Cricetulus griseus: one gene and its partners. The protein of the gene in region 1 interacts with the protein of each later gene in a biochemical or structural test. Links are inferred from orthologs where the notes say so. Each region holds a gene or a part of one and is shown in the gene's direction. Other genes may lie near its edges.

Evidence for each region.
Region 2: the proteins of histone lysine acetyltransferase CREBBP (region 1) and Klf4 form a complex in vitro, tested with the Homo sapiens proteins (2 studies listed by BioGRID, with this or other methods). The link is inferred for Cricetulus griseus from reciprocal best matches to the Homo sapiens genes CREBBP and KLF4.
Region 3: of the proteins of histone lysine acetyltransferase CREBBP (region 1) and Mapk1, one has a biochemical effect on the other in vitro, tested with the Homo sapiens proteins (2 studies listed by BioGRID). The link is inferred for Cricetulus griseus from reciprocal best matches to the Homo sapiens genes CREBBP and MAPK1.
Region 4: the proteins of histone lysine acetyltransferase CREBBP (region 1) and Nfe2l2 form a complex in vitro, tested with the Homo sapiens proteins (2 studies listed by BioGRID, with this or other methods). The link is inferred for Cricetulus griseus from reciprocal best matches to the Homo sapiens genes CREBBP and NFE2L2.
Region 5: of the proteins of histone lysine acetyltransferase CREBBP (region 1) and histone H3.1, one has a biochemical effect on the other in vitro, tested with the Homo sapiens proteins (2 studies listed by BioGRID). The link is inferred for Cricetulus griseus from reciprocal best matches to the Homo sapiens genes CREBBP and H3-4.
Region 6: the proteins of histone lysine acetyltransferase CREBBP (region 1) and Sumo1 form a complex in vitro, tested with the Homo sapiens proteins (2 studies listed by BioGRID, with this or other methods). The link is inferred for Cricetulus griseus from reciprocal best matches to the Homo sapiens genes CREBBP and SUMO1.
Region 7: the proteins of histone lysine acetyltransferase CREBBP (region 1) and transcription factor AP-1 form a complex in vitro, tested with the Homo sapiens proteins (4 studies listed by BioGRID, with this or other methods). The link is inferred for Cricetulus griseus from reciprocal best matches to the Homo sapiens genes CREBBP and JUN.

What each region holds. Positions count from the first base shown.
Region 1 is NC_048600.1:42,539,473-42,542,972, forward strand, and holds part of histone lysine acetyltransferase CREBBP, read left to right. Parts: coding exon 1-30; intron 31-503; coding exon 504-650; intron 651-1,288; coding exon 1,289-1,406; intron 1,407-2,064; coding exon 2,065-2,236; intron 2,237-2,678; coding exon 2,679-2,723; intron 2,724-3,500. UniProt on the Homo sapiens protein: Acetylates histones, giving a specific tag for transcriptional activation. Mediates acetylation of histone H3 at 'Lys-18' and 'Lys-27' (H3K18ac and H3K27ac, respectively).
Region 2 is NC_048595.1:88,331,035-88,335,161, forward strand, and holds the start of Klf4 (Krueppel-like factor 4), read left to right. Parts: upstream 1-1,327; 5' UTR 1,328-1,804; coding exon 1,805-1,809; intron 1,810-1,926; coding exon 1,927-2,047; intron 2,048-2,685; coding exon 2,686-3,670; intron 3,671-3,783; coding exon 3,784-3,948; intron 3,949-4,127. UniProt on the Homo sapiens protein: Transcription factor; can act both as activator and as repressor. Binds the 5'-CACCC-3' core sequence. Binds to the promoter region of its own gene and can activate its own transcription.
Region 3 is NC_048597.1:72,356,860-72,360,947, reverse strand, and holds the start of Mapk1 (mitogen-activated protein kinase 1), read left to right. Parts: upstream 1-1,288; 5' UTR 1,289-1,503; coding exon 1,504-1,616; intron 1,617-4,088. UniProt on the Homo sapiens protein: Serine/threonine kinase which acts as an essential component of the MAP kinase signal transduction pathway. MAPK1/ERK2 and MAPK3/ERK1 are the 2 MAPKs which play an important role in the MAPK/ERK cascade.
Region 4 is NC_048599.1:99,368,283-99,372,257, forward strand, and holds the start of Nfe2l2 (nuclear factor erythroid 2-related factor 2), read left to right. Parts: upstream 1-1,175; 5' UTR 1,176-1,371; coding exon 1,372-1,416; intron 1,417-2,296; exon of another isoform or gene 2,297-2,447; intron 2,448-3,975.
Region 5 is NC_048600.1:73,028,993-73,031,193, forward strand, and holds histone H3.1, read left to right. Parts: upstream 1-1,260; coding exon 1,261-1,671; 3' UTR 1,672-1,701; downstream 1,702-2,201. UniProt on the Homo sapiens protein: Core component of nucleosome. Nucleosomes wrap and compact DNA into chromatin, limiting DNA accessibility to the cellular machineries which require DNA as a template.
Region 6 is NC_048595.1:413,930,895-413,934,884, reverse strand, and holds the start of Sumo1 (small ubiquitin-related modifier 1), read left to right. Parts: upstream 1-1,190; 5' UTR 1,191-1,335; coding exon 1,336-1,347; intron 1,348-3,990. UniProt on the Homo sapiens protein: Ubiquitin-like protein that can be covalently attached to proteins as a monomer or a lysine-linked polymer.
Region 7 is NC_048595.1:53,810,955-53,815,215, forward strand, and holds the start of transcription factor AP-1, read left to right. Parts: upstream 1-1,461; 5' UTR 1,462-2,330; intron 2,331-2,447; 5' UTR 2,448-2,551; coding exon 2,552-3,556; 3' UTR 3,557-4,261. UniProt on the Homo sapiens protein: Transcription factor that recognizes and binds to the AP-1 consensus motif 5'-TGA[GC]TCA-3'.

The sequences.
Region 1 (3,500 bases):
AGCTCTTCCAACATCCTTGGGGGCCACCAAGTAAGACTAAAGATTCAAATAGATCGTTTCTGAAGAACAAGTGGGTATAAGAATGGGTGGGAATTATACAAAACTCCACATGTGGCAGAGAATGAATGGGAATGCATGCTATTTTTTCTTTTCTCATATTTTTAAAGAGACAGGAAAGAGCGGGAGGGAGGGGAGAAAGAGTCCCACAAGGGGGTGTTGGATTCCATGGAACTAGAGTGACCAGCTGTTGCGAGCCATTGATGTGGATATCTGATCCTCTGAAGGAGAAACAAGTACTCTTAACAGCAGAGCTGTCTGTCTAGCCTCTCTTTCTTTTTAAATGATAAATGTAAAACAGAACCAACTAAACAGATTGAATTCTGGTTGATATACATTACTTGTTTCTCTTAAACATTTTAAGTCACATATTGTTGAAGAAGGTTGAGTGTATTTGATTGATTCACTTGAGTAGCTGGATGAAGTGTTCTTATTTCCCTCTCTAGTCCACTAATGAATGATGGCTCGAACTCTGGTAACATTGGAAGCCTCAGCACGATACCTACTGCAGCACCTCCTTCCAGCACCGGTGTTCGAAAAAGCTGGCATGAACATGTGACTCAGGACCTGAGGAGCCATCTAGTGCATAAACTGTACGTTACCCTCATCAGTCAGATTCACATTTTGTGGCTGAGGCATTGTTGAATCTTTATGGGTGCATAGATGTTTGGTTTTGTTTTTTCCTTTGCATGTTGAATCCCAGTTTATAGCTCTTAGCTGCAAAGGGTCCATGCTTGTTTCAGAAACCAATCCCCACTGTAGAGAGTCCTAGGAAGGCTGAGTTTCCCAGACTCTGGGCCCTATTGTATGTTGGCATCAGACAGTTAGAGACGTGACCGGAAGCCTACCTATCCTCTTTGCTTTTGAGTTCACGTGTGTTCAGTTACTTAGGACTAGTTATAGAGTTCCCTAAAACTTGGGGGAAATTTGGCTCTGGTGAATATGTATGGTATGACCACATAGTTATTTTACATACAGAAAGTAATGTTTCAAACTACCTCTCCTAAGTTGAAGTGAATCAACTATAGATTCTTCCTTATTTTGATCTGTTTACAATGAACAGTTTCAAAATAGAGATTTGGAATCATACTTTTCATAAAATGATATAACACATTTGTGATTATTATGTAGGTTAAAGGTTGGTATTGTTTCCATTGTTCATGCACAAGGCAAAGAGAGTTCTGCTGTGACCACTTTGAAAGTAGGTTGATCTAGTATATTGTCCTTTCAGTGTCCAAGCCATCTTCCCAACTCCTGATCCTGCAGCTCTGAAGGATCGCCGAATGGAGAACCTGGTCGCCTATGCTAAGAAAGTAGAGGGGGACATGTATGAGTCTGCTAACAGCAGGGTAGGTTGTCAAGCAATTGTTGAGCCTATAGGTGGGAAATGATATTTGTCTAGTTCTTTACCCATAATTAGGAGAATCTGTGTGATATAGGAGACTCCTTACCTTGAGACTTTGAACAGACATGTCCCAGTAAGGATGAGATTCCTGTACAGCCCTTTTGTGAATGAAGCACAAATATCATAGGAGGACAGAGGATGCATTAGATAAAGTGTATGTACCCTTGGGTCATCTCTTTTCACCGTGGGTATTCTTTAGGATTCTTCTATTATATTATTGCCAGTATCAGTGAATACCCAAGAAAAAGCTCATTTGTGCAGAAAAAATAAACAACTGTATTTAGCACCTTCGACTGGTCGTATCTAGTAAAGTCACTAGTTCAGTAAAGTGGAAATTAAAGGGTATGCTGACATCACTAGGAATTTGGGGTGGTGATTCTTTGGTTTATTAAATGTGTCGAACCTTTGTTAATGTACTTAAAATGTGCTTAGCGGTATAGTGCCTTCTTAGGCCCTGAGTTTGATCCCCAGCAGCAAAATGTGAATGTGTGAATAAATGAATGAATAAAAAGAGTTCATTCATTGCTAGTTAGAACATAAAAATAAATGACTGGTTCTTAGATTTTTCAGTTCCTTAATATTGAATATTATTGCTTTTTTAGGATGAGTACTACCATTTATTAGCAGAGAAAATCTATAAAATACAAAAAGAACTAGAAGAAAAACGGAGGTCACGTTTACATAAGCAAGGCATCTTGGGTAACCAGCCAGCTTTGCCAGCTCCTGGGGCTCAGCCCCCTGTGATTCCACCAACTCAGTCTGTGAGACCTCCAAGTAAGGACTGTATTTCTTTTTACCAGCTCTTAGCCTGCCTGCTTAGTTTTCCTTCTGTCTTTGGGGTATATGTCTAAGAATGTACAATTGTGTTCTCCAAAAGTCTGTGCTTTGGAAGCTTTCTGTATGGCAGTGTCCTGTGAGGACATTGAGCCTCCCTCATAGGAAGATTTCTTTTTGTTTTCTTCATTTTTGGTTGTTTGAGACAGGTTTGCTCTATAGAGCACTGACTGTCCTAGAACTCACTCTGTAGACCAGGCTGGCTTTGAATTTAGAGATCTACCTACCTCTGCCTCTCAAGTGCTGGTATTAAAAGGTGTGTGCTACCACTGCTTGGTATAGGAAGGCCTCTTAAAGGCTTTGCTGCTAAGTTATTGGGTTTTTTTAACTTGTTTATAACTCCCACCCCCCTTTCAATTAATTAATTTTTTCTCCCTTGTAGATGGGCCACTGCCTCTGCCAGTGAATCGAATGCAGGTTTCTCAAGGTATTTATTGTCAGCCGTGTTTTACTTTAACTTTCAATGTTAGCAAATTATCCCCCATTTTCCCTTTTGTTTTTTTTTTTTTTTTTTTTTTTTTTTTTTTTTTTTTTTTTTTTGCACTTTCCATTCTTTTCTGATAAGAACATAGTCCACTAAATAATTCCACTAAATAATGTTAGCCTGTTTTTTAAAATTTGGAAATTAGAGGAGCTTTTTCCAAAGAGGTCAGAAATAGGATTTTGGACTAGCAACACCCCCCCCCCCAGAAAACAAAAACAAACAGGGGAGACATTATTAGGAGATTATAAAAAGAGCCATATTTTAGGAAGGAAAAGGCCTTTCTGAATATTCAGCCTGAGAGTCTGTAACCCAGTTGGTTTCAAGTACTTGGGGACTCAGAAGGTACAGTGCTGCTTCAGGCCATCAGGATTGAAGTTGCTGAGTAATTATCAACCACAGGAGGCTGTGTGCATAGCTCCATGCCTGGCTGGAGTAGTGATAGCTGTCTAAACCATTAATCGCTCAATTCAAGATTCTGTGGTCATTTGGAGTAGATAAGGCTTCAGGGCTAGGGGGTATTTGTACGCTCTTTAGATCTTGACATACTGAGACTTGAATATCAGGGTATTGCTCCAAGTTGTGAAATAAAGTGGGGACATTATCCAGATGGTAAAGTAAGGCATTGCAGTTTGAGAGGGACAGGTAAGTGATTTGAAGTTGTAACAGTGTTATTGAACACTGAAACAGACACTGAATAAACTTGCCAAGAACTTGTTTGGA
Region 2 (4,127 bases), on another chromosome or scaffold:
TTAACACCACACTCACGTTTTGGTTTGGGTTTTTTTTTTTTTTTTTACTTTTTTTTTTTAAGTACTGTTTGTAGAGATGAGGGCGAAAACATATTCCGGCTGGAAAATTACTGATCACGCACTAGGAAGGTAGTGGGGATGGGAAAAGGAGTTACAAGACCGAAATAAAGACCGATTGCCATTTCCCCTCCCGGTGGGCCAAGGGCCTGGGTGCCACTTTTAGAGAACTAGGGTCCCACCGCAGTGCTCCATTTCCCAGCACACGGTCACCTCCCAGCAAAGTCCCTCTGAGTGGACTGGCCAGCTCGAAACCTAAACTGAAGGGAGCGAGTTGTCCTGTGACCTTTACCTCGCCGCTTCACCTCTTTATGACTCATTTTTCTCATCTTCAAACTGAGAGTGCGAGTGCGTAGCCTGTAAAGAGCTTTGAGATTCCTGGTGAAAGGTATCTCTGCGCCTGGATTCCTCCTTGCGCTCCCACTCCCCGCAAGTAAATCTGGAATCCTTTAACTCCCTTCCTTGCTCTTTCCATTATCAAAACTGTAACTACGTGCCCATCCTGGCCTTTTTACTCCATAGCAGACCCTACTCGGAGCTCCTGAGACTCCTAGCCCCCCGTCACCCGGCCCCTATCCCCAACCCTGCAAGAGGCCCCACGGGCACAGCCCGGCCTCTGCGTGCGTATGCGAGGGAGGGCGGGCTGGATGAGTCACGCGGATAATCGCGCTCTTGGGTGAGCAGAGTCGACAGGAGCAACCGCGAGCAGGAGTAGGGGCTCGCCGCCGCCCCTCTCCCCACCAACCCTGTCCTGGCAAGGGTTCCCGTGACCGGGCTTTCGACCGTGGCCGCACAGAGGACCCTAAATCGCCGTGCCACTGAAGCAACGCCGGGATCCTAGCGCCGAAGCCGCCGTCGCCGCCACCGCCGCCGGCGTCAGCACGGCTCCAGCCCGCCAGCTGCCCGGCTGGCGTCACGGCCCAGCCCCGCCCCGCCCGTGCCCCTCCCTCGCCCCCGCCCCCACGTGCGCGGAGTTTGTTTATTTAGCTGTCATGGCAACGCGCAGGGGGGCTGCGGGAAGGCGGGGAGAAGAAAGGCAAGGGGCGGGGCCTGGCGGCGGAGCCCCGCGCGCCACGGGGAGGAGGCGGGGGAGCGAGCGAGCGAGAAGTTATAAGTAAGAAGCGCGCGGCGGCCGCCGGCAGTTCCCCGGCCGAGAGAGCGAGCGCGGCTCCGGGCGCGCGGGAGCAGAGGCGGTGGCGGGCGGCGGCGGCACCGGGAGCCGCCGAGTGCCCCTCCCCGCCCCTCTGGCCCCCCACCCAGCACCCGCCCGTGACCCGCGCCCATGGCCGCGTGCACCCGGCGCAGCCCCCAGGACTCCGCACCCCGCGCCACCGCCCAGCTCGCAGTTCCGCGCCACCGCGGCCATTCTCACCTGGCGGCGCCGCCCGCCCACCGCCCGGACCACAGCCCCTGAGCCGCCGACAGCCACAGTGGCCGCGACAACGGTGGGGGACACTGCTGAGTCCAAGAGCGTGCAGCCTGGCCATCGGACCTACTTATTTGCCTTGCTGATTGTCTATTTTTTTAAGAGTTTACAACTTTTCTAAGCATTTTTGTATACAAAGGAACTTTTTTAAAAAGACATCTCCGGTTTATATTGAATCCAAAGAAGAAGGATCTCGGGGAATTTGGGGTTTTTGGTTTGGGGTTTCGTTTCTAAAGTTGTTTTTAATATTCGTTGACTTTGGGGTTCGGGTACCCCTCTCTCTTCTTCGGACTCCGGAGGACCTTCTGGGCCCCCACATTAATGAGGTAGGTAAGATGCTGGGCTAGGGGAACATTAAAGGGTGAGAATTGGTGGGAAACCTCGGAGCAGTGGCCAGGGTAGCCCCTGACTCCTGGTCCCTGTGCGCCCCGCCCGGCCCGCAGGCAGCCACCTGGCGAGTCTGACATGGCTGTCAGCGACGCTCTGCTCCCGTCCTTCTCCACGTTCGCGTCCGGCCCGGCGGGAAGGGAGAAGACACTGCGTCCAGCAGGTGCCCCAAATAACGTGAGTGTCGCGCTAGTGCCCGGTAGATTTCTGGGGATGTTATGGGGTGGATGGGCAGAATCCAGGGGTCAACCAGGAGCCCCTGGCTAGGACAAGAATTGCCCTCCGTTGAGACTCTACAGCCTTCCCAGGGTGGCTCCTCGGCCCTTGAGTCGGCCTTAAGTGCGTGTGGTCCCGGCACTACGGTACCGCCAGGGGCGCACAGCGGTTCCTCGCTGGTCTCCCGGCGTCCGGGCCGTGGGGTGGGTGCACGAGGACCACTGGTGGCCAAGTCTCGAGACCCTCTGGGCACGAGTGAGCTTAGCGCGTAGGAGACCGGGTGGCTACGGTGCATGGGAGAAAGCCACAATGTCCTAGTGTCCCAATTCCGTGGGCGGCTGGAGCGTCTCGAGGATCTGGCTGGGAAGAAAATTGGGCTGGCGGAGGTGCCGCACTAGTTTGAGGTGGAACCGACGGGCCGCCTCTTACCCGGGTGCTGGCTGAGATTGAAGCGCTGGCACCTGGAGTCCCTGGAGCTGCCTTCCTGCCCTGTCCAGTTCCTATGGCAGGAGTCTGGTGTGCTTCATCCAAGTCGATACTAGGAGTGGCAGCAAGGGGCTACAACTAACCACTTCTCTCTCCCTCTCTGTCCTTGGCAGCGCTGGCGAGAGGAGCTCTCTCACATGAAGCGACTTCCTCCACTTCCCGGCCGCCCATACGACCTGGCGGCCACCGTGGCCACAGACCTGGAGAGTGGTGGAGCTGGCGCAGCTTGCAGCAGTAACAACCCGGCCCTCCTACCCCGGAGGGAGACCGAGGAGTTCAACGATCTCCTGGACCTAGACTTTATCCTCTCCAACTCGCTATCCCACCAGGAATCAGTGGCCGCCACTGTGACCTCCTCGGCCTCAGCTTCATCCTCGTCCTCCCCGGCGAGCAGCGGCCCTGCCAGCGCGCCCTCCACCTGCAGCTTCAACTATCCGATCCGGGCTGGAGGTGACCCGGGCGTGGCTGCCGGCAACACAGGTGGAGGGCTCCTCTACCCCCGAGAGTCTGCGCCACCTCCCACGGCCCCCTTCAACCTGGCGGACATCAATGACGTGAGCCCCTCGGGCGGCTTCGTGGCCGAGCTCCTGCGGCCGGAGTTGGACCCAGTGTACATTCCGCCACAGCAGCCTCAGCCGCCAGGTGGCGGACTGATGGGCAAGTTTGTGCTGAAGGCTTCGCTGAGCACGCCTGGCAGCGAGTACAGCAGCCCGTCGGTCATCAGTGTTAGCAAAGGCAGCCCGGACGGCAGCCACCCTGTGGTGGTGGCGCCCTACAGCGGTGGCCCGCCGCGCATGTGCCCCAAGATTAAGCAAGAATCGGTCTCCTCCTGCACAGTCGGCCGGTCCCTAGAGACCCATTTGGGCGCTGGACCTCAGCTCAGCAACGGGCACCGGCCCAGCACACACGACTTCCCCCTGGGGCGGCAGCTCCCCACCAGGACTACCCCTACCATGAGTCCCGAGGAACTGCTGAACAGCAGGGACTGTCACCCTGGCCTGCCTCTTCCGCCAGGATTCCATCCCCATCCGGGGCCCAACTACCCTCCTTTCCTGCCAGACCAGATGCCGTCTCAAGTCTCATCTCTCCATTACCAAGGTCAGTGGGGGAAGGGATTGGTAGAGCTGCTGCTGGGGAGTTTTGCCTATGGGATGGGGGGAAGTTCTCGGAGACTCCTGAATGAAAGTTGACCCCCCACTTTCTTTACCTAGAGCTCATGCCACCGGGTTCCTGCCTGCCAGAGGAGCCCAAACCAAAGAGGGGAAGAAGGTCGTGGCCCCGGAAAAGAACTGCCACCCACACTTGTGACTATGCAGGCTGTGGCAAAACCTATACTAAGAGTTCTCATCTCAAGGCACACCTTCGAACTCACACAGGTAAGGGGACCAGCGCTGTGGAGGAGGGTTGGTGTCTGTCTGCTCATAGGCTGGCTGTGGATTCCTTAGGGCTTTCTTAGGTGCTGGGGTGTATCTCTTCTCCATCTCCCGGATCACAGAGAAGGGCAGCAAACAGGCGCCTGTGTTTTTGCCCAGAAGCCTTTTGCTTGATGGATGCT
Region 3 (4,088 bases), on another chromosome or scaffold:
GATCTCATTTGCTGGCCACAGAGGAGTCTGCGTCCAGGGACGACAGGGTAGTAATGCCTGAGAGACAAACTGTGTCATTCACTATCTTACCATTGCTCTCCTTGGCACCCACCTACTTTAAGATTACAATTTTCTTCGGGTTCATTCGTGTTTCTGACTGGTTCTGACCCACAACTTGTTCAGATGTTTCAGCCATTCTAACTGTGCTATATTTCAGTACGCCCATCTGGGTTTCTGCTCATCTGTACCAAGCTGGTGTTGTGTGACAAAACACTTCTTGAGAAGACACAATACACACCTAGTCACTACAGATGAGTATGGATACCAGCAAAGTTGAAGAGTGTCCTCCAGCTATTTAAGTTGGTCTAGACCTCTTCCAGGCAGGAGGCAGGAGGCTGATTTCTGCTTCTTCTAAGCAGTTTGGCTGAGTCTTCTTTGCAGCTCCGTGGAGTTCATCGAACAGGGATTCTCAACTTTTATTGCTTACTCCAGCAAGGAGTAACCCGGTGAATCTGGTCAGTTTCAAGGACTCCCAAAGTTCCTTTGTGCCGTTTACTTTCCTGTTTAAGGAGTTTCTCTGCAGGATAGAATGTTTCAATCTCGCAGGAAACGGTTACACAACACCTGGGTCCAGTCCCTGGATTTCAGTCTTTCTCCAGCGTCCTCACCCACAACTCTGTAAACCTTCCCTCCAGTTTTTAATTGTTCACAGCACTTAGTTAAGTGAGCATCGTATTTGTCTGTCTCTTCACCCTAGAAGGGAGAAGTATTCAGCAAATCTTCTTGAACAAACCTCTAATTAGGGGATTCAATGCCTTGTGTTTTGGTTTCCACTTATGTCTCACACTTTTTAGGTGTGAAAATATCTTTCTGAGTCTGGGTCATGCTTTTTGGTTTCTGTCCCAGTTTGGCAGTCTAAGTTCATTAGTGTGAGGGCCACGGATTCCCAGAGGCCTGTCTCAGGGGTCCATTGCTTGGTGTATGCTGAGTCCTCCGGTCTCACGCCAAGTGCCTGGTTCCACATGAGTTCGTCCTGGGCACCGCACAGCGGTCGGACACACTGTGGGGTCGTTACGCCCAGGTTTCCACCAGGCTTTCAAGAGCCACCAAACAAACTGAACGCCCGGTTCTCCAAACGCACGTGACGGCCCTCCCCCGCAGCCGCAGTGCTCCTGCCTCAGTTCGCTGCTTCCGCCGGCCCTCGAGACCCCGCCCAGCGCCGCGAGGAGCCAATCAGCGCTCACGCCCTTGACTCCGCCCCAGCGCCCCTCGACGCCAGCCCCTCCCTCCTCCCGCTCGCTGCCCGCCCGTCAGGCAGGAAGGCAGGCAGTGGTTCACTGGCGGTCAGTTCTTTGCTCTGTGTTGTCTTCGTTCCGCGTTCCCGGTCGCGGGCGGCGGCGGCTACACGGGTGGCAGCGCGGTCCCTGCGGGAGGCGCTGCACAAGCCGAGCGGCGGCCGCGAAGCGTCGAGCCCAGCGCGGCGGCGGCGACTAGGCAGCCAACATGGCGGCGGCGGCGGCGGCGGGCCCGGAGATGGTCCGCGGGCAGGTGTTCGACGTGGGGCCGCGCTACACCAACCTCTCGTACATCGGAGAGGGCGCCTACGGCATGGTTTGGTGAGTGTCTACTCCGGTTTGCAAGCTCGGCCTCACCCGGTCACCCCTGCCTGTGCCCCTGGCTGTTCTGGACGCAGCCGCGGCCCTTCCCGCGCCTTGGCCTCGCGTTCTGCAGCGACCTGGACCCCTGACTCCTCTTTGGTCCACAATCACGGAGCCCGTCGAGGCTTAGTTGTTGCTGGGGTGCTTCCTGGGCTGCCCCTCGTTTGCCGTTGGAGGGGCACCCCACACTGAGGTCAGGACCCGAGGACTTGGTCTCAAGCTCGTACTTTGGAGTCTTCTCCCTTGGGACGGGAACGGAAGTGCACCGTGTCCCCTAATTTATGGCATTATAGCCGCCTTCTTTGACATTAGATCGTAAAACCAGGAATTCCATCACAGGCTTGTCGGTGGTGGTGGAGGCGGCCGTGGTTTTGCAAGCGAGAATCCTCGGCTTGTGTGCTGAACACCAAAATATTTTTCTTCCCTTCCTTGTGTATACGTGAACAGCTTTCACAAAATATCTTCAGTGGAGCTAATGATGCGTTCCAACTTAGGCTTTCTAAAAAGCATTAATGACACCAGCGTTGGTTGTGAGGATATTTAAATCTTGAAGTTTCAAAATGGATGTAAATATCGTTGCGTTGCAGGAAGGATAAGCTAGCATCACTCTTAAAGAGTTATTAAGATGTATTTGGAATTGGGCCTAATTTGACTTTAACTCCTTCGTTACCATCGAGTATTTTCAGACCTAATTTTGCATGGTCACTTGTAGGATTTCTCACCTGATTGTGGAATGATGAAGTGTGTTGTTTTTACTGGAACAAGTATTTGTGTTTTGTACTGAAAACTTGTGGGAGTAGGTTTTCTTACCCCTAAATTTGTGTCTTTTGTGCTAAATGAAGAAAACTAATTTATTGAAGGTCTCTGAGATACTCTGCTATCCGAATAGTTTAATTTTGTCTGGATAGCCATCTTGAGGAAAAAGATACCCTCTTTCAGATAAGGTATAGAAAGGAAGTCCTTTCCCAAGGGCGAAGGACTAGAACCAGGCTCTGATTATAGACAGATCCTGTTTCAAATGCTGCAGCTCTTCAGTCATTACACATGCCTTTCTTTAATGTTAGTAATAATCTTGGAACTTTAGCATATTTTCCTGATGAGCAAGTCTATTTCAGAAATGCATTCAAATTTGAATGGTCATAATTTTAGAAATGGTAGGAAAGACGTGTTTTCCACCAACTGTCTTAACTAGATAGAATAATTAACGTTCTTTTTAAAAAGACTCACAGTGTACAACTATGAAGATAAAGGTGAACTGGTCTTGGGAGTCAAAACAAATTAAATTAGGTCACAATTAAAGACTTATAAAGGAGTACTTAAAAAAGTACTTCCCCTTCACATCTGTCTTGCACATATTGCTGCTCTTGTACCTGCATGCCAGTAACTCTCTTATTATACTGAAGATTGCCAGTTATAGTTTCATTTATTTTAAAAACTAGCTTATTTTAAATAGGCACAAAAATTGAGGATATGTCATTTGGACTCCCCACAACCACCTCTGTTTGATAAGATGGATTATTTAGATTCTGGTGCTATTGCTGCTGTGGAGTTACTTAACCTTTGAAGTTTACAGCTGCTGTGCAAAGTTCTCTTTAAAATTCAAATTTTAGGGGCTGGGGAGATGACTCAGCAGTGAAGAGCAGTTGCAGCTCTGGGTTCTAGTCCCAGTACCCACCTGCAAGCTCACAACTGTCAGTAACTCCAGTTCTAGAGGATCAGATGTTCCTTAGACACAAATTTGAGGGAAATACCCATATTTGTGAAATAAATTAAATTTAAAAATACAAATTTTAATTTTAAGAAAAGTGTAGACCAGGTGGTGGTGGCGGCATACACCTCTAATCCCAGGAGGCGAGGCAGAGGCATGTGTTCTGTGAGTTCAGGCCAGCCTGGTCTACAAAGGGAGTGCCAGGACAGGCTCCAAAGCTACACAGAGAAACTCTGTCTCAAAAAAAAAAAACAAACAAATAAAAAATGCAGGTACAATTGGAATTTGAATCCTGGATCCATCCTTTTATCTCCAGGTTGATAACATCTTAGTATTTGTAGAATATTTTTAATTATAGGTCATTAGCATTTGATCATTAGCTGGGTTTATGGAGAACATCTTGACCTTAAATGCCTGCTTGAATAGTTGTGATCTTTTAAAAAGCTAGGCTTAACAATCAAGACCATCTTCAGATCCCAGCATCTACATTAGGTGACCCTCTGACTTCCAAGGGCATCTGCACATATGTGGTTCAAAGAAAACTCATATGTACATAAACATACTAAAAAAATAATTTTAAAAACCATGAAAAAATGTTTAAGGGATTTTCAGCTATCCTTTAGCAGGGTTTTCCCTAAAGTAGTTCATTGGAAATTGTGCCTATTTTGGTTAGATTCCCCTTCCTTATGTAGAAGACAAAAAGATAAGATTGGGTGGTGGGT
Region 4 (3,975 bases), on another chromosome or scaffold:
TGGGTCGTGACCCCTTTGGGGATGGATCAACTTTCACAGAGGTCACATTTCAGATATCAAATATTTACATTGTGATACATAACAGCAAAATTACAGTTATAAAGTAGCAGCAAAAGTAATTTTATGGTTTAGGGTCACAAGAGAAACTGTACTAAATGGTAGTAGCATTAGGAAGGTTGAGAACCACTGCTATATACCAGCCTTTGGGAGGTGGAGGCAGGAGGATAAGGAGCTCAAAACCACCCAGGTTTCATGAGACCCTATCTCAAAGTTCCAAAATAAAATCGTAAAAAAGAGGGGGAACTGTATCATGAGGATCCACACCTGTGAAGGATGCTATTTGTTGTGTGGCTGCTTCCTGTGTGTTCTGGGTGAACGACCCACACACTCCTTCAGCTCTGGCCGCTAGATGCGGGCACGTGGGAGAAATAGAGGGCGTTCACTTAAGTTTGCAATGTGGACGCATCTCCCTGGGGCAGAGCTGTCCCGCACCAGCATGAGCAGGACAGGGGGACAGAGAGCAGTTGGCTGTCTGCACAGTCCCTGCCCAGAGCCCCCACCCCCGGCTGGCGCCACAGTCAGCCGGTGGGGCGAGATAAAGCGGGCAAGGTTCTGCGGATCCGAATCAGGGAGGCGCAGCTCCGATAGCAGCGCCCGGGATGGGCTCCCGGTGTGTTTGCTCCAACTGTTTAAACTGCTTCAAAGCGCCAGAGCCCCAGCGACCTTCAGCAAACAGCTGCTAATCTCTAGCCAGGGAGAGCTGTCCCAGCGAGGACTCGGGCAGCCCAGGGCCTCTCGCCCGCACTCCGCCCCCGTGGGACCACGGCCACGCCCGGACCACCGCTAGAGGATGGTCATCAGCGGAGGCCGAGGGGAATACAGCAACTCTTGCCGGAAGCCCTCAGGCCCTTGACCCGCCCCTCTGGTCCCAGCCTTGTCCCTTTACCCTTGCCCCGCCCTAGGGCAAGCCCTCTGGCCCTTGCCCCGCCCCTCCGGCCCCTCTAAGTACCTTTACTCTCGCTCCGCCCTTCGCCATGTCTTCGGACCCTTTCCCTGCCCAGGACCCTTGCACGACTCCAGGCTCTTGCCCCGCCCCCAGTCCCTTGCCCCGCCCCCGGGCCCTCGCCGGGGACTCTAGCCCTTGCCTCTCGCTCCAGCCCTCACTCCGCCCTTAAGTTCCTGTCGCTTCCCCAGGTCCTTGTTCCGCCCCCAGGGGGCGGGGGGCGGAGCGGACTGAGACTGGCCGGACACTCAAGCGAGCCGGCTGTCTGCTGGATCCCGGCAGCTCCGTCGAGTCACTGCCGCCGCCGCACCTCGGCAGCCAACGTAGCGTCGCCGTCGGGGATCCTCAGTGCAGCGTTCGTCCTCAGCATGATGGACTTGGAGTTGCCGCCGCCAGGACTACAGTCCCAGCAGGTGCTGCCCCGGCCCTTGGGCTTATCGGCTGTGCCAGGAAGCAGACGGGAGCTCGAGGGGACAGTGGTCCCGGGAGGGAGGGACAGTCTGAACCCAGACTGCGACAGCCCGACCTGGGAGCTGCCCCCCGCCGGGCCGGGAAGGCAACGGGGGTGTTGGGGCAGCGATGAGAGTAGGGACCGAGCCTGAGGTCCCCGGGGGCACTGGGGTTGGGGTGTGGAGGAAGCTCGGGCTTGGTGGGGCCAGAGGGCATCAACACCACCTCGCTGGGTCGGATGCTCAGAGGCGGCGGGAGGGGGCGGACGCTGGCTGTCTTCGCCGGCGCAGCCCGGCCCTTTCCGGGCTTGCGTAGTTTCCCAGATTCGGTGCCGGTAAAAATGTGCCTAGTCACGGGGCCGTGCTCGGGGGAGCTGAGGTCTCCTCGGCGACCGCCCCGGAGACTGCTTCCCTCCCCTGGCCGCGACCTCCAGCGCGGCTGCCAAGCCCCCTTGGCCGTCTGTGGTTTTCTCAGCCCGAGAGCTCGTCGTCTGTAGGATCATGCCAGTCCGGCTTGATCTAGAAAAGCCCAGCCCTCTGGGGGCGGAAGAGAAAGTCACCGGGTGACCCTCGTGCTCAGGTGCCCCGACGGGCAGGGCTCCTCGCGCTTCCTCAGCCCGGGAATCCGGCATTGGCCTCACATCAGGCGAGGACTTGAGGACCTGGGCGGGCTCAGAGGCCCTAGGCAGCCGCACGCGGGGCTGTGTGTTCTGAGCGTCGTGACTCGCGGGGCCCCCACACTGTGTATGTGTGCGTGGCTGTGGCCTCCGGGTGGGTGACAGCGGCCGGTTGGCAGTCACGGAGGCCCTCGGTTGGCCCTTTCCTGCTTTATAGCGTGCAAACCTCGCTGCTCTGGGGCCAAGGGACAAGTTGGAGCTGTTGATCTGTTGCGCAATTGTTATTTTCCCCTGGGCGGCTTTGTCTTTGGATTTAGCATTGCAGAATTGCAGTCCCAGAATGTGTAAAGCAGGATATTCTGTTCCTTGCCGTCAAGGGTAAGAGTTGTAGATTAGAATTTGTTGCTTTTTATATTGACGATGAAGTTTTTGCGTTTAGCTATTATCCCTCCCTTGTGTCTTTAGTACATTTTTCCTTAGTGTTTGAGATTTTTTGCCTCCTCGATTTCTTAGCACATTGTGAACTTTTATGAACAGAGAGGATGGGACGCTTTCGTTTCATAACCCCTTGTTGATAAGTTTTGAAGATTGTTATGTAAGTGAAAATCAGTTTTTGGTCATACTTCTGGCACTTTTAAAGAAGTAAATGCTTATGTTGCCATTGTGTTGTACTTGGATTTTTAGGAAAAGGGAATGTGTAACTTGGTAAACAGAAAGTTAATTTAAATGTTAAATCGCTGACCCTGAAGGGCCTGATGTAAGCTTTTAGTTACTGACAGTGCATTAATTCTACTCCCTCTCTTGAACTTTCCCCCAGAAATGATTGGGGTTGTAGCTGGTTTTCATTAGGATGAATAAGTAAACTGTACTTTCTGATCTTCTGTTCTTCATTAGTAATCAAAAGGAATGCTTGTCTGGCCACAGGATACATGATACAAACGAACTTTGATTTTAAAGTTTTCTTCTTTTTTCTGTGTAGCATGTAGCATAACATTTCATGTACAAAAATGGCAGATGTACTGCTTTCTCCTCCATGTGAAAGTTTTCTTTGCCAACAACATTTCTTGTTATTTCCAGACAGCAACTTTGAAAAACAGAATTAAAAATTATAATTCATCTTAAAATCATTGTTTGGTAGTCCAGAAGGATTTGAACTGAGTTACAGATTTGAGCAAATGGTTGTGTTGTTGTAGGATAATGGTTTTAACTGCTCAATGACTCTTCATCTCAGGGGGAAAGCCATCCATTACTCTTTTCAGTGGTGTCTTGGAAAGATAAAAGTTGATGAAGTTGATATTGAAGATGAAGTTGATATTGAACGAGACAGATAAGCTTATTTTTAAACGTTAGACACAGAGAAAGTGGACAAGCCTTTCCTCTGGAATGAATGTTAAGCAAGACCAACTTGACTTTTTAGATATATGGAACATCTCTGAGACGTTACAGAAACCAAATGTGGATTGATAAATACACGACCACATCAGTCTTTCTATCTTAAAAATAACTAAGGCAGTGGCTGGGGAGATGGCTCAGTGGTTAAGAGCACTGTCTGTTCATCCAGAGGACCCAGGTTCAATTCCCAGCACCCACACAACAGCTCCCAACTATCTGTAACTCCAGTTCCAGGGTATCCAACACCCTCATACAAACATCCATGCAGGCAAAAACACAATGCATAAGAATAAAAAAAAATAAATGACTAAAAAAAATAATTAGGGCCATTTTGAAATTTCATTTATATTAACTTGGGTCCTTAAAAACAATGCTGGGGGAACAATCCTCTTTTAGGATTACCGGTGAGAGTTGAAAGCCAGATACGTGGTTCTTCTTAATGTTCATTTTTATTTAGGATGAGTTATGCTAAGCAAAGCTGCAGGAGAAAGGAGCACTTGAGCAGTTACCTTTA
Region 5 (2,201 bases), about 30 Mb from region 1:
TCCATGATCATCGAGGCAGGAAGCATGGTGCCTGGCAGGCAGGCAAGCAGGGGGCTGCCACAGTCGATGAGAGCTTGCTTTCTTACATATAGATTAGCAGGCAGGAGACAGAGCAAGCAGGAATGCCTAGTATGGACTTTGGAAACTTCAAAGCCCAACCCCATCACACTTTCTTTAAAGATCACACCTCCTAATCCTTTCTCAAACAGCTATAACAACTAGGGAGGAAGCATACAAATGTGTGAGCCTATTAGGGCTGTTCTCATTGAAACCATCACAAGGGTCTTTAAGGGAAGGGGGAAGCTGGTCCAAAGTTGGGGCAGGGGTACAAAATAAAACAAAGACTGCATCTGTTGAGATTGATCAGTGAGAGCCAGAAGTTCAGCTAATTGCTGGTGTTGCAAAGTTGGGAACCTGTAGTGCTTATGTCTAGCCTTTGTCATGGGCCAGCAAGGACACAGTGGGGGCATTTTTTTTTTAATTTAAAAATATTTATTTTATTTTTAAAATATTTTTAAAATTTAAAGCTACAATATTTTTAATTTTGAAATATTGTTAATTTAAAACACTTTTAAATTAAAATCTTTAAATAATTTCTAACTTACATTTTTTTTATTTTAATTGTGTGTGTGTGTGTGTGTGTGTGTGTGTGTGTGTGTGTGTGTGTAGGTGTTTGGCTTGCATGTATACTGTGTGTACTACTTGCATGCCTGGTGCCAGCAGAAGATGTCAGATCCCCTGAGATGAATTAAGGTGGAAGCAAGCCATAGTGTGGGTGCTGGGTTCTGAACCGTGGTCCTCTGGAAGACCAGACAGTTCATTTTACTGAACCACCTCCAGCCCTTGTCCCAGAAGTCCTTAAACCGAGACTATTTTTCTAATATCACAGAACTCAGGAAAATTATGCCCTGTTGCCATATAAAGGAAACACCCAGAGATGCTAGAAGGTTCTTTGTGACTTGACAGTTGAAGCAGGGTTGAAAAAAAAAAAATTCTGAGAATGACTCGAGTTTTTCTACAATCCATGCTGCGGGCCTACCGAGATTAGTCTCTACTAATAGCTCTGGTGTCACTGCCACCCGGAGAGCATATAAGGGGCAGGATGTAAAGAGGAACGCCCAATGGACCAATCAGAGTGGAGTACTCAAACACGCCACCAGGTGCGCAACCAATAGGAATGCAGTGGGCTCTATAAAAGCCGAGCCCACAGGGCACCTTGCACACTCGAGGAGAAGCAGAGAAGAAAAGAACTTCGGGACGATGGCACGCACCAAGCAAACAGCACGCAAGTCGACAGGAGGCAAGGCTCCACGGAAGCAGCTGGCCACGAAGGTGGCCCGCAAGAGTGCACCGGCTACTGGCGGTGTGAAGAAGCCGCATCGCTACCACCCAGGAACCGTGGCGCTTCGTGAGATCCGCCGCTACCAGAAGTCCACCGAGCTGCTGATTCGCAAGCTGCCGTTCCAGCGCCTAGTGCGTGAGATCGCCCAGGATTTCAAGACTGACCTGCGCTTCCAGAGTTCGGCCGTGATGGCGCTGCAGGAGGCCTGCGAGTCCTACCTCGTGGGGCTATTCGAAGACACCAACCTGTGTGCCATCCACGCCAAGCGGGTGACCATCATGCCGAAAGACATCCAGCTGGCTCGTCGCATTCGCGGAGAGCGGGCCTAGACGCCATAGGCTCCTCATCTTTGCACTACTTTGAACCCAAAGGCTCTTTTCAGAGCCACCCACCCAGTCTGAGAAAGTGGTTGTAGCCTTGTAGATTTGATCCCCTGTCCACTTCGTGCGGAGTTGACTTTGAAGTCCAGCGAGCTAGTCCGGCTTTACAGCGGACCCATACCCGTTTAAGCTGTTTGATCAGCAGGTCCCTCCTGCGTTAAGTAGGTCTTCGCCTGAACCTTTGTAACAAGGTTGTAGTGCTGACTGCCCTGCCAGGTAGAGTCCAGCTTCCACAGGCCACAAATACACTACCACAACTATGGTGTGCCGATGACAAGTCTGCATTAACTCCAGTTTACTCCCATTGAAAGTCCCGAAAACCTTGCACTTTGGTTTAAAAGGTTGGCTACTCTTGTGTGTAAAAGTTAGCCCTCTCTCCTACAATGGAAAGCACACTGAGCTGAAGGCACCCACATATGCATACACAGGCGTACTAGCAAGTGTGCACCTGCAAACAATAATAAAATTTAAAATTAAAA
Region 6 (3,990 bases), on another chromosome or scaffold:
CTGGGAATTGAACTCAGAACCTCTGGAAGAACAGTCAGTGCTCTTAAACCCTGAGCCATCTCTCCAGCCCCTAAGAAAAGATTCTTTTTTTTTTAATAGATTTTATTTATTATGTATACAACATTCTGCTTCCATGTATATCTGCACACCAGAAGAGGGCACCAGATCTCATAAGGGATGGTGAGCCACCATGTGGTTGCTGGGAATTGAACTCAGGACTTCTGGAAGAGCAGTCAGTGCTCTTAACCTCTGAGCCATCTCTCCAGTCCGAAAAGATTCTTTTACTAACGTCTTATACTGTGAAAGGTTATTGATTTATTTAGAATTTTCATTTTTGCCGGGGGTTGGGGGGCGTGGTGGCACATGCCTCTAACGCAGCAGAGTCTAGAATAGTCTACAGAGTTCCAGGACAGGCTCCAAAGCTACACAGAGAAACTCTGTATCGGAAAAACACACACAACAATTATTTTTTCAATTTTACTCTTTTTACTTATATATCCGTAATCCACACTTAATGCCTGTGCAAGAAGGTCGTGGTAGTCAAAGAATTTTAGGTCTTTCTGTGACGAAAGGCAAATAGTTAATAGGTTGGAGGTAGCTCCTTCTGCCTATAACTTCAAACTTAAAAACTTTCAACATTTTAGTCATCTACAGCTCTTAAAACTGTCCTAGAGCTGGGGGCAGAGGTAGGAGACTCTATGTGAGTTCGAGGCCAGGCTGATCTACATAGTTCTAGAGCGGCCAGGGTTGCTCAAAAAACAAAAATAAAAACAAAAAATATGTGTTCTAAGGGGTCGTCTTTTCGTTGTGGTCCTAAATCAAGGTCATGAGTGTGCTGGCAGCAAACAAGAGAAGGTAATAAAAATATTATACCGGCGATTCCCTATATTTAGGGACGGTTAGTAAGGTTGGGAGCAGACAAAAGAACTTGGTTTAGCTCGGAGAAGCGCGCAAGGTGTCCGAGAGGGAGGAGTCTAGGATGTCGGTTTGACCCCAAACATTCAGCCTGGTGGCGATGCCCTGGTCTCCCTAGGGGGCTGAGGCAGCCGGCCGGGTCTCCCAGCGGCAGAACACACAGTCGTTCTCTTGCTCCGGGCAAGCAATTTTACAGGTCAGACGCCCCAAGGCCTTTCCCCAAGGCGTTTTCCCGCCTCCTTTTCCCGTCTTCCCAAAGTCTCCTTTGCGCGCAGCGGAAGTGACGCAATACGTAGCGGAAGTCCCTGCAGCCGCGGTGTTGTGCTGTGGGGAAGAGACAGATTTGTAAACCTCAGAGTGAGGTTCTGCCTGCCGGAGGCCGCTGTGGTGCGGAGACCCCCGGGCGAAGCCACCATCACCATGTCTGACCAGGTACTGGGCCAGGGCATCGGGGCTCAGAGCTGTCGGCCGCTGGCTGGGCCCGGGGACCGCGGCGCGGGGGAGGGGACGCAGCTGGGGGAGGGGGCTGCTGCTGGGGAGGGGGCCGCGAGGGACGCGGAGCGCCCGGCCGAGTCGGGCCCAGCCGCCCGGGACCGCGGGGCTCCGGGGAACACCCGCCCTCCGCCGCCTTCCCCGCGCCCCCCTCCCGCTGCCCCGCGCCGCGGCTCTCTCGACGGCTCCCAGGTTTCTCGCGGGTCCGCCGGGGGCCCAGGCCCGCTCCTCTGTCCCCGAGAGCAACCTAAGAGAAATCGACCGTTTCCCTTCAGAGGACCGATGGCAGAAACAGGGCCCCAGGCCTAGTTATGTAACGGGAGGGAATCCCTGACTGGGAGGGTAGGTAGCCCCGAAAAGCTGCTCCACTCCACTTTGGGTTCTTGGTCTCGGAGTGGGGGGCGGAGAGGAAGCCTGGCCTGAGGTTCCTGGGACCCAGAAGACGCTGCTTTCCGTTGTGTTTGCCGGGAGGGCCTGTCCGCCTCTGCTCCCTTCTGCGTCTTTTTTTTTTTTTTTTTTTTCCATCTGGGGGGTGCGGATCGGTCGGCTCTTTTTCTGTACTTTCCATTTCTTACTCGGGATTGGTCCATCAACTCTCTAGTTGTAGGAGAGTTCAGAATAACCGAGAAACAAACGAAACTAGGTTAGAGTACCACCACCAACAAGCCATTTATTTCATCTGGGCATTAGCCTGCTTATGATTGTTACATTTTCAAAAATGGCACTTTTTTTTAACATAGTCAATTTTATACACGTAAACGACGTATCTTGGTTATATGCACCTCCATATCACCCTCTTCCAGGTGATATTTTTGAGGAAAATAGAAAAACTGAATATTTACAGCTGCAGAATGTTTACAGAAAGCTGCCAATTAATAGTAAAATGCTGTGTCTCCGTATTAATGTTAAGAATTTGCATGGTATTGGCATTCAAATTAGGAATACTGCCACCTTAATTTCCTTCATCCCATTTTTGTTTACCACGTTTGTGGCTAGTTTTAATACATAGGATTTTTATCTGTTTTTCCTTTTGTTTGCTTAGAGGACTGAATTTTCAAATTTTTTTTGACGTTTGTCTATAATGATAATTATTCAGTAAACTTTTCATTCAGCACCACAGTGTAGTTGAACTGTTTTCTTTTAATTTAATCTTATTTATTTATTTATTTATTTATTTAATTGTTTTTCGATACAGGATTCTCTGTGTAGCCTTGGCTAACCTGGAACTGCTCTGTAGACCAGGCTGGCCTCAAACTCAGAGATTCCCAGCCTTTGCTTCCTGAGTGCTGGGATCAAAGGCATGCTTCCCCACCACCTGGATAATATGGTTCTATTTTTGTAGCCTATCCATAATGTAGATTAATTGTGGGGTAGATTTGTTTATAAATAATCTGGATTAATTCTGTTTAATCTGGATAGAAATTCGTTTATGAATATCTCTCCAGATAGTTCCGAGTAAGGGAGGAAAGATGAGCTGTAAATGCTTAGTTTCATCAGTCTTTTATTTTAGAAGGAACTAGAAGGCATGTCAGCCTGATGAAGGGCAACATACAGTTAGAAATTTTAAAATTATTTTTGCTCTAGTTTGAACTCACATCATTTAAGAATATGGAGAAAGGCTCTAAAGCTACACAGAGAAACCCTGTCTTGAAAAACTATTAAAAAAAAAAAAAGATTATGGAGAAAGGAAAAGAGAACCTAGGACACAGGCTGTTTTCAGGGGATCTGTGAAGCCACACTAGGGTGTAGTACTTGTTACTGGGCACTGAACTTAGGGCTCACATGTGTACATGCCAGACAAGCACTATACCACTGAGCTAGATCCGAATCTCTTATACTTAGTCTCACTATGTTGCCTAGGTTGTTCTTGAACTTCATTCTGTAGCACAAGGTGTCTTTGAACTCGGAATAAATACTCCTCCCTCACTTATCGTTGCAGAGTAGGGAGGATTAGAGTTATGCCATACCTGGCTAGTCCATGTGTGATTTGTTTATTTTTTTTTTTGTCCCGTGTTGTTCCCCCCCCCCCCCCCCAGGGTTTCTCTGTATTGCTTTGGAGGTTGTTCTGGAACTCTGCTCTGTAGACCAGGCTGGCCTCTGCCTCCCAAGTGCTGGGATTTTCTTTTGTTTTTGAGATAGGGTCTTACTATGTAACCTTGGCTGCCCTGGAACTCATTCTGTAGTTCAGGCTGGCCTGGAACTCACAGAGGTCTGCTTGCTTCTGTCCTCTGAGTGCTGGAGTGAAAGATGTGCATCACAATACCTGACAAACTTTTGTTTTGTTTTGTTTTGTTTTCAAGACAAGATTTCTTTGTAGCTTTGGAGCCTGTCCTGGAATTCACTTTGCCTGCTTCTGCCTCCCAAGTGCCACCACCACCTGGCCCAAAACAAGTCTTTTTAATTGAGCTACACAGTAAAGCAATATGCAAGAGTGTGAAATAGTGCTACTTTTAGAAATTTTGACTTGAAGAAAAAGTATGCTAACATTTTAGGGGTTATTTATTTTGTTTTCTAAGACAGAGTTTCTATGTGTAGCCCTGATTGTCCTGGAACTTGCTCTGCAGACCAGGCTGGCCTCAAACT
Region 7 (4,261 bases), on another chromosome or scaffold:
AACCTCAAGTCCTGGGCTGTAAGGAGGCTTGGGGAAGAGCTGGCTAACAGCCCTTTGCTACCTTGCTCACCAGTTCCTGCCAAATCACAGCCCTGTAGCCTGGTACGGCGGGAAGGCCCAGGGGGAATGCCGAGGCCGGCAGGGAAGGGGACAGTGAGTTGACCAGCTTCTAGTACCGGCATCAAGGAAGGTAATACTAACGCCTGGCAGCCCGGTACGGTGGACCTCATCCGCTCTACTTGCAGATGAGGCCAATAAAGCTCAGAGAAGTTCCGAGATTGCAGTTAGGCCATGAGAGAACCGAGCTTGCCACCTCTTTAGTCCTAAGTGGTGGAGAATGGAGGTCGGATAGCAGAACCCTAGGACAAAAACCACTTACATGTGTCTAGCGCTTCCTAGAGGCCACACAGGATATGAATCCACCAGCGGGCGGGGAGGGGAGACTTTAGCCTGCTTCTACCAGGGACTCCCGCTTAGGCAGCGTGACTTTCGGGCGAGTCGGCGGCGGCTCTCAAGACTTGTTTTCCCAGAAGCAAATCAGGAGCTGGGGGGTGGGGGGTAGGGCGGGCGCGGGTTGCGTATGCGCGAGACGCGCCCGGGCAAAGGCGATCGCTGGGGTTTCCTGAGTTTTGAACCCTTAAATGTTGATTTTGACCCCCATGGATGCTGGGGTCGCCCCTTTATTTCACGTCTAGAAAGCGCGTCCCTCTGAGGCAAAGCGAGCCCCTCCCCGCATGTCTCCAGAGGGTGAAGTGTTGTGCCGAGGACCCTGACGAGTCGGTTCTTAGTACCGCAAATCTCTAGCTTCCAGGTAGAGCACACAGCGGCACAGATCCTCCTCTGGAACTTAACCAAGAGATAAACTTCCACGCGTGCTCAACGTGGGAGGGACACTCAAGCCCGTTCAACTTCAACACACTTTCTCGCTCCCGCACCCGGGGCGCACACAACCATCTTCACCCGCGCCGCTGCCTCCCGGAAGTGTGGGGGTGCAGAGCCTGCTGGAGCTCAGGTCGCTCAGCCCCTTCACGTGTGTGCGTGTGTGTGCGTGTGTGTGTGTGCTTGTGTGTGCGTGCGTGCGCGCGCGCCACCTCCACTCCCCACCCAGGCCTTCCGCCCGGGGCCACTAGCGAGCCTCCCCAGCTTTCTGGATGCCGGTGTCTCGATCCCCGTCCCCAACCCTGAACTTGAGCCCGCCTCCGACAGACGCCGCAAGGGTCCAGCCGACCCGGCAGCCTCCGTCACTAGACAGCCAAACCAAGACGTCAGCCCACAATGCACCGGGCGGGCCGGGAAAGACGCGCCGGGGAGGGAACCCGGGAACACAAGCCTGAGCGCCGCGCGGGAGGGGGAGGGAGGAGGAGAAAGAAGGGCCCAACTGTAGGAGCGCAGCGGAGCATTACCTCATCCCGTGAGCCTTCGCGGGCCCAGAGAAGAATCTTCTGGGGTGAGGTCTCCATGGCGACAGGCGGGCCCGCCCCCCTGAGAGCGACGCAGGCCAATGGGAAGGCCTTGGGGTGACATCATGGGCTATTTTTAGGGGTTGACTGGTAGCAGATAAGTGTTGAGCTCAGGCTGGATAAGAAGGACTCAGAGTTGCACTGAGTGTGGCAGAGACGTCCTGGCAGGAACGCGCTCAGACAGAGAGGCAGAGAGAGAGAGCGGGACGGACGGAAGGAAGGACGGACGTTCTCGGCCAATCTGGACGGCCGCGGACTCCGGGCTGCTCATCTGTTTGTCTTCATTTTCTCACCGACTACCTGGACCCAGCGCCCGCGGCTCCAGCACCGGTGTTTTGGGGAGCACTTGGAGAGTCCCTTCTCCCGCCTTCCCCGGAGAAGCAGCTCGCAAGTCCCTGCGCTGCTGACAGCATCGAGAGCGGTGCCTGCCCGAGCGAGGAAATAGGCGAGCGGCTACGCCGACCACCAACTTTCCTGACCCAGAAGACCGGGAACAAGTGGCCCGGAGCGAACTTTTGCAAACCTTTTCAGCGCCTTAGGCTGCCCCCGAGACCGTAAAGAAAGGGGAGAAGAGGAAGAACCCACACTCAGCCCCGCTCGCACAGGCGGCTGAAGTTGGGCGAGCGCTAGCCGCGGCCGCCGAGCGTCCCCCTCCCCCTCACAGCGGAGGAGGGGACAGTTGTCGGAGTCCGGGCGGCGGAGCCCGATCGCGGGCTTCCACCGACAGTTCCGTGACGACTGGTCAGCGCCGCCGGAGAGCTGCTGTCGCTGGAGCTGGTCTGCGGTCTCCGAGGAACTGCTACTACCCGAGAGCGCTCCGCGAGTGACCGCGACTTTTCAAAGCCCGGCAGCGCGCGGGAGCCGACCAACGTGAGTGAAGGCGGTACCTTAACCCTGCGCTCCCTGGAGCGAGCTGGGGAGGAGGGCGCAGGGGGGGAGCACTGCCGACCGGAGCGCGCGCTCTTAGACAAACTTTACTTGTCACAGACGCAGGGACGCGCGGGTGTCCCCCGCTTCCCAGCGCGCTGTTGCGGCCCCGAAACTTCAGCGCGCAGCCCAGACGAACCCCGCGTGAACTGACCGACCGTTCTATGACTGCAAAGATGGAAACGACCTTCTACGACGATGCCCTCAACGCCTCGTTCCTCCAGTCCGAGAGCGGCGCCTACGGCTACAGTAACCCCAAGATCCTGAAACAGAGCATGACCTTGAACCTGGCCGACCCGGTGGGCAACCTGAAGCCGCATCTCCGCGCCAAGAACTCGGACCTCCTCACGTCGCCCGACGTTGGGTTGCTCAAGCTGGCGTCGCCCGAGCTGGAGCGCCTGATCATCCAGTCCAGCAATGGGCACATCACCACCACGCCGACCCCCACCCAGTTCTTGTGCCCCAAGAACGTGACCGACGAGCAGGAGGGTTTCGCCGAGGGCTTCGTGCGCGCCCTGGCCGAACTGCATAGCCAGAACACGCTGCCCAGCGTCACGTCGGCGGCACAGCCGGTCAGCGGTGCGGGCATGGTGGCTCCCGCGGTGGCTTCGGTAGCCGGCGCCAGCGGCGGCGGCGGCTACAGCGCCAGCCTACACAGCGAGCCTCCGGTCTACGCCAACCTCAGCAACTTCAACCCGGGTGCGCTGAGCAGCGGCGGCGGGGCGCCCTCCTACGGCGCGGCCGGGCTGGCCTTTCCGTCGCAGCCCCAGCAGCAGCAGCAGCCGCCTCAGCCGCCGCACCACTTGCCCCAACAGATCCCGGTGCAGCACCCGCGGCTGCAGGCCCTGAAGGAAGAGCCCCAGACCGTGCCCGAGATGCCGGGAGAGACCCCGCCCCTGTCCCCCATCGACATGGAGTCTCAGGAGCGGATCAAGGCGGAGAGGAAGCGCATGAGGAACCGCATCGCCGCCTCCAAGTGCCGGAAAAGGAAGCTGGAGAGGATCGCCCGGCTAGAGGAAAAAGTGAAAACCTTGAAAGCGCAAAACTCGGAGCTGGCGTCCACGGCCAACATGCTCAGGGAACAGGTGGCACAGCTTAAACAGAAAGTCATGAACCACGTTAACAGTGGGTGCCAACTCATGCTAACGCAGCAGTTGCAAACGTTTTGAGGACAGAGTGTCAGGGCTGAGGGGCAATGGAAGAAAAAAAATATAACAAAGACAGACTTGAGAACTTGACTGGTTGCGAAAGAAAAAAAAAAGTGCCCGAGTACCGAAGCCAAGGGTACACGAGATGGACTGGGTTGCGTCCTGACGGCGCCCCCAGTGTGCTGGAGTGGGAAGGACGTGGCGCGCCTTGCCTTGGCATGGAGCCAGAGAGCGGCGGCCTGTTGGCTGCTAGGCTTTGCGATCGGGCTGTGCCCGCGAGACCAGAACGATGGACTTTTCGTTAACATTGACCAAGAACTGCATGGACCTAACATTCGATCTCATTCAGTATTAAAGGGGGGCGGGGAGGGGTTACAAACTGCAATAGAGACTGTAGATTGCTTCTGTAGTGCTCCTTAAGAACACAAAGCAGGGAGGGCTAGGGAGGGGAGGGAGGCTCGTGAGTGCCAGGCTAGACTGCAGATGAACTCCCCTGGCCTGCCTTCCTCAACTGTGTATGTACATATATATTTTTTTTAATTTGATGAAAGCTGATTACTGTCAATAAACAGCTTCCTGCCTTTGTAAGTTATTCCATGTTTGTTTGTTTGGGTGTCCTGCCCAGTGTTGTTTGTAAATAAGAGATTTGAAGCATTCTGAGTTTACCATTTGTAATAAAGTATATAATTTTTTTATGTTTTGTTTCTGAAAATTTCCAGAAAGGAT